Linked DNA regions of Yarrowia lipolytica. The protein of the gene in region 2 interacts with the protein of the main gene of each other region in a pairwise test. Links are inferred from orthologs where the notes say so. Each region holds a gene or a part of one and is shown on either strand. Other genes may lie near its edges.

Region 1 (3,016 bases), about 550 kb from region 2:
TGCGCACATGGGCTCTCCATAGTCCCACTTGATCCTCGGTCGGATCCAGACCTTCGTTGACCAGCTGCCAGTCCACAGGACACTCAAATAGTAAGGTGAGATGCGACTGCCGCAGCCGGGCCGTGTATGTGTCGATAAAACGGGTTTCCTTGGACACGCCCGCGAAGTACGTGTCTTTAGCCGTTGGTCGTGAAAAATCTTTTTGTCGCGTGCGCAGTTGGTTCCGTGTACGCTGTGTGCCCTCCTCTATCCGCCGCTGCTGCTGGGCCAACGTCCCACTCACGGCTATCGAAGCGATCCGCTTGCCGACACTGTGGGGCTGTAGCACCTCCAGTTTACTCATGGCAGTTTTGCTGGACAGGAGAAAATGCTCGTTTTGGTGATAACTTCAGACGCTGAAATTTCATGCATGTCTGAACTTTGCTGGACGTGGGGCGTCGAGTATGTTTAGTTGAGTTTACTGAGAAAATTAAGTAGAGCTGAATATGGGGCGAAAATGATAGGGGGCTGGTAGAAAGCTCAGAGCTTGAGATTTTGATACAGATCTTCTACTAAATTATCATATACTTGAAGTGCATCTCTAAAATACAATCATTAATCATTAAATAGTCGCACCGTACTCGTGGGTGGACAGTAGTGGGGTCCTCTGTTCCAAGACGTGATCTCGTTCTCAGTTAACTGAGGTAAGAGTACTGGTAACTGTACACCATCCAGACTCCACAAAGCATACTCAGCAACATCTACCTCCTCTATTCCCGCTTCATGACGTCAATCTTGTTCTCCCATTGCTTCACCAGAGGATGCACTCCCTCATATGTAGGAGCAGCATCAGTGGTCCAATACTGTCTGTCGAAGATCCTCGTGCTGCTGAGTTCTTTGCGGGCCTGCTTCTCCTCCTCAACAAGACCCTTTCCCTGCAAATAGCCGAAAATACGCCCGATAGAGAGCCCCAGCTGGCCTCCAATGGGGTATCCTGCGTTGAAGCCCTCCTGCAGACTTTCGTCTTTGGCCTTTGTGACTCCAGCAAGGTAGCCTGCCTGTGAGTGGTCGCGCTTCACTCGTGTGATCTCGCTGGGCGTTTCTCTCACTTCCTCGTCATCCCAGATGTCGGACATGTCGTTGTTGCTCTGTTTAGAGAAAGATGTCAGTTCAATGCCATTTTTATGTGCAGGCTCCCTTACAAATCAGCATGCATGTTGAGTTTATTTGGAATTTTTGGCTGGTCTTTTAAGGACCAGAGTTTTAAGTAAAGTGTAAGTAAAGTGTAGTTAGGAATGTAGGTAACAGTGGAGGTTTGCTAGGGCGATAGGATGGGTTTTTTTATCCATCAATCTCACCAGTGGGCCACTTCAACCTCACAAGCTAGGTCTCTCATTCTAGTCTAAAGCAGCTCTCGATTTTGCTGTTGTAGGTACTTGTGGGACCGCACTTTCGGTGACGCTTTCTTAACACCCTACTGTACCTCTCCCAACTAGACTTATCCACTGATCGGTTGCTACAATGAACGAAACAACATTAAGGACCTATCTTGCTCAAATATCATCACTCAAGAAGCCTGAAATCTTTTATCATATCGTCTCGACTCTATTATTCCAGAACATACTCCATCTCCCCGCCACTTCTAACATGTCGTCCATAAAATATACCAAGCAACCTCTTCCAACCTACAGGTACAGTAGCTCCACTGCACCCAATCTCCCTTGCACTTCATGCATGCATGCTCATCTTCCCCACATCAACATGTCGCACGCCCAGGTTCTCAAACACGTCCGAGCCGTGAGTATAGAACCCCAAAAGGCCCCAATTGGCCTGTTACACGTTACTAACGCAGGTATGGGGAGATTTCCTCCAGCTCAGTGGCCTAGAGCCCACGCTGTTGTCTCAGGTGAGTATGGGAGAGTGAGAGATGGTACTGGTACGTTCGGTGAGTTTTCGGGGAAGAGGCCCTGGGCTATGGTTGATTGTAACTCAGAGATAGTCTACAGACACATTCCCTAGTTCCAAGTTTGTGATCATCGAATCTCTACATGAGATGTTCGAGCTATCTTTAAAATACAGACGGAATATGACTTCAGTTGCGTACCAGCCATATCAATAATACCGAAGTCACACCGAATTTGCAGCCAGTACTTCAATGGCCCTCAGGTAACCGCCAAATTCCACGCCACCCCCTCTGTCCGCCATTAACACAGCTTTCCATCGACTCTGCTGAACGCGGAAAGGTCCGACTCGGCCTCACCGTCGCCAAGGAGCACACCAACCGGCTTCAAATCCTTCACGGAGGCACAATTGCGTCTCTGGTTGATCTCGGAGGCTCCATGGCCGTCGCTTCTTCCGGAGCTTTCGCTACCGGCGTGTCTACCGACATCAACGTCTCCTACATTGGCTCCGGAGGCAAGATTGGCAACAAGATCATCATGGACTGTTTGTTGGATAACATGGGCCGATCCCTGGCCTACACCTCCGTTGACTTCTACAACGCCTCGGATCTATCTCTGTTTGCTCGAGGACGACACACAAAGTACATCAAGCACGCCCTCAAGGACCCTCGGAATGTCGAGTTTTGAGCATTCACAACAATTGCCGTGACATCTACATTATAGATCTATACATTTGTGAGTTATTTAAAAAAAAAAACAACCAGAGTCAACTGTATGTCTAAGAGTGGTCCATATCGTTCCTTTATTTTTATTTTTATTTTTATTTTTTTTAAAAAAACAACAAAACACAACCTTGCAAACAACGTGTTTTTACAGCGGCTTAAATTACAGCACTGAAAGCACGGGGGTGGATAAAGGTTGTAAATGACGTATATTCCTTGTATTTTAAATCGCATCTTCAACTTTTATACCTCTTGGACTCACCACACCCCTAGACAACCACCTTTTGTTTCGATAATTAAGCGCATTTTTTTATTCTAATGATTCATTACAGCTATATACCTACTAGTAGTAAGCCGGGTTATTGGCATTCAATAAATCATACACTTCTGAATCTTTGCTTTTTTTTTATTCTA
Region 2 (2,957 bases):
TACGCGTATTTTACACATCTGATGAGCTATAAGCTTGATCTCAAGGATACAAGTAGACAAGAACAACAATGATGGTATATCCAGCAAGGTAAGTTATCTTGCCAGGTCATGACCCTTTGAATGATACTACTGCTATGGAGTCCCGATGCTGAGATATGTTATGGACTGGAGCTCTGGTGTCACCTACGCACGTCCACACGCTGCTTGGTCAATAAATATATTATACATTCCCACCTCTAGTCATACTTTCCATGGTTCATCCAGGTTCTTTCTCCGACCTTTCTTACCTGCACAGCGTCCGTAAAGTACCCTTCTGACCATCCTTTCATCATGGAGCTAGTGAAGGGACCGTGGACCTCTTCTCCCTCTGCCCATCGAAACACCCATTCTTCCTGCTCGTCTTCAATCTCATCCACTTTTCGTTTCAGATCTTTGACCGACTGGCCCGTCAACAAACAGTACTCCTTTTGGACCTCTTCTCGAGTCATGTCATAGATGTTGGACATGTCTCTAGACAGCAAAGCGTCACAGTACTCGGTCAGCTGTTCGATTTGCTGTACCATAGCCTTTTTCTCGTCACCATTGAGCTTTTTGCGCTCCTTTCCTAGTCGCGCAAGAGCCGCTAAGGACGATTCTCCACTCTGAAGCACTTCCGACAGTTGTTGCAACAGCTCAACCTTTGAAATAATCGGTTTAGCAGCAGCGGATTCCTTCCTGGACTGTTGCGCACGCTTGGCAGCAGCAATATCCTTCTTGCTGACTCCATCCAGCCACAAGTCTTGGTGCTCCTTTTCGTCCTGAGCGTTTTTGACAAAATTGCCTTCCTGATCGAACTTGCCCTCCTCCAAGTCTTGCTTGAGATTGAACGATTCCATCTTGGGTGTGTATTTCTTTGCCCTGCTCAGATCCACATCCAGTCCGTCCATGTCGTCCTTTGTGTAGTAGTCAATATCCACTTCCGAGTCGGACTCCTCTTCTTCTAGAGGGGCCACAGTGGTGTGTGTACCGACATCGCCCTCAAACTTTTCCATATCCATGAACTGCGGTTTCTCGTCATCAAACTCCTCCTCCTCGGGCCTGTCGCCGTTATCCTTCTCTTTGTTCTCTTCGTCTTCGTCCTCACTGAACATGTCGCTGTCACTGTCGTTGTTTCCATGTCCATTTGCTCCCTTCACAGGCGCATCCTCATCGGAAGAGTCGTCATCGATGCCTCGAAGCCCCTTTTTCTGCGCCCGGACTCGTCCCCCAATATCCTCCTCCAGCAATTCATCGAGTTCGGTCGTTTCCTCAACCTCAGGCGCCAGCTGGAGCGGGTTATTGGTGTTAAAAGTAGACATGGTGATGAAGAAATCACAGCATGCATGTCGAATGTTTGTGCATAGTATAAAGGAGTATATAAGTCTACTAAATGTCCAATAACAAATCCAACTAGACTTAGTGATTGAAAATTAATGTATTATATTATTATACCTACAGGTTAACACAATCTCTGTGAAATACAGTACTTGTAGAACCTGCCAACAATTTGGACCACCTTTTTTCGAACACACATATCTCCTTAATCAAAGTTTTTTACTTGTAGTGGCAGTTCTCTTGCTCTGGCTAAGCAGTCGCATCCTACGTGCGATACGATACATGCAGCTCTTCATCTGCAGGTTAAATTCAATTATAAAGCATCAAATTTATTGTACTCACCATCTATCACACTCTCCGCCGCGGCTACAGAAATGCCAGCTATCCCTACAGAAATGAAGCAGCACGACGACATCTTCGAGGACTTGTTCCAGCTTGAAGAAAAGTGAGTCAGAGGTAACTGAAGGTGCTCAGACACCACCATCGGAAAACTTATCATGCTAACCACAGATTCTACGAAGAAGGATACAATGATGGACTACAGGCTGGTACAAAGGCTGGGTTTGCTGAAGGACGTGAGTTTGGAGTACAGACGGGATATCAGCGGTTTCTGGATCTCGGTTTGCTCCAGGGACGAGTCATAGTGTGGGAGGAACAGGTGGCTGATCTACCTGAAAGCAAACAGCAAAAGACAGTCGAGCGACTGCAACAGATCAAGCAGCTGATCCACCAGGAGGAGCCCACATATTTTTTATCCAACGATAGTGTGGTCGTTCATCAATACGAAACTATGATGAAGAAGGCCAAGGCCAAGGTGAGAACTTTGGCAGCCAGCATCGGTAGCGAAAAGGTGGTGTTTGAGGATCTGCTCAAGGGTTACACTGAAGAGGAGAATATCGAGGATAACTTCTAGAACGATATCTAGACGTATGGGAGTGGCGTGAGGAAGAAAACCTCAGCTAACCAGAGAAGGGAGATTACCAATTCAGCACCCAACCCTGACGGTTGCATCTCAGACAATGATAATGACACAGGTATGCAGATCGATCGCCTCAGGTTGTCTCATCTCGTTCTAAGGAGGTTAATGCAGTTCAAATAAGGGTGCTCTAGAGTCTTGCCACTCGATCTGCCTCAATTACCTGCTGAGTCGCTCAGACGAGCGAAGCTGCAATGAATATACGAAATTGATGAGTTATGAGTTATGACACATTATATTTAGAGCTGTATGTTGAATTCTAAGCAAATGCGAAGAGTCCCTTGACGGTAGACTTTCTCATGTGATCAATACTGAGTCCTTGTAGATAGGAAAAGTTCAAGCCTAAGCAATCTTTTGACTTCCTAAAGGACTTTAGAAGACACACATGGCGGTGTGTTGACCTACACCAGCACCCAGTAATCAGCATGTACTGTAGAACTGTAGCTACAGTATTTGTATGACAACTGCTTTTATTACCACCTACAACTGCAGTCATTTTTACCCCTAAACTGAAGAAGTGAACTTGTAACGATTCTTCTACTGTGTGTATTTACATACTTGTAGATAGATCAGCCAGGACATTTACTCCTCAAATACAGTCAAGTGACCCACGACCGTCGTAATTCTT

Evidence for each region.
Region 1: the proteins of YALI1_E31034g (region 2) and YALI1_E25541g interact in binary tests that used the Saccharomyces cerevisiae proteins (3 or more experiments, as listed by UniProt). The link is inferred for Yarrowia lipolytica from reciprocal best matches to the Saccharomyces cerevisiae genes LTO1 and YAE1.

What each region holds. Positions count from the first base shown.
Region 1 is NC_090774.1:2,552,257-2,555,272, reverse strand, and holds YALI1_E25541g (uncharacterized protein), read right to left. Parts: upstream 1,116-3,016; coding exon 750-1,115; downstream 1-749. Other genes in the region: YALI1_E25549g (uncharacterized protein), read right to left, coding at 1-343; YALI1_E25537g (uncharacterized protein), read left to right, coding at 1,501-1,998. UniProt on the Saccharomyces cerevisiae protein: The complex LTO1:YAE1 functions as a target specific adapter that recruits apo-RLI1 to the cytosolic iron-sulfur protein assembly (CIA) complex machinery.
Region 2 is NC_090774.1:3,101,746-3,104,702, forward strand, and holds YALI1_E31034g (uncharacterized protein), read left to right. Parts: upstream 1-1,727; coding exon 1,728-1,798; intron 1,799-1,863; coding exon 1,864-2,266; downstream 2,267-2,957. Other genes in the region: YALI1_E31031g (uncharacterized protein), read right to left, coding at 237-1,337. UniProt on the Saccharomyces cerevisiae protein: Essential for life in oxygen, but nonessential under anaerobic conditions. Required for biogenesis of the large ribosomal subunit and initiation of translation in oxygen.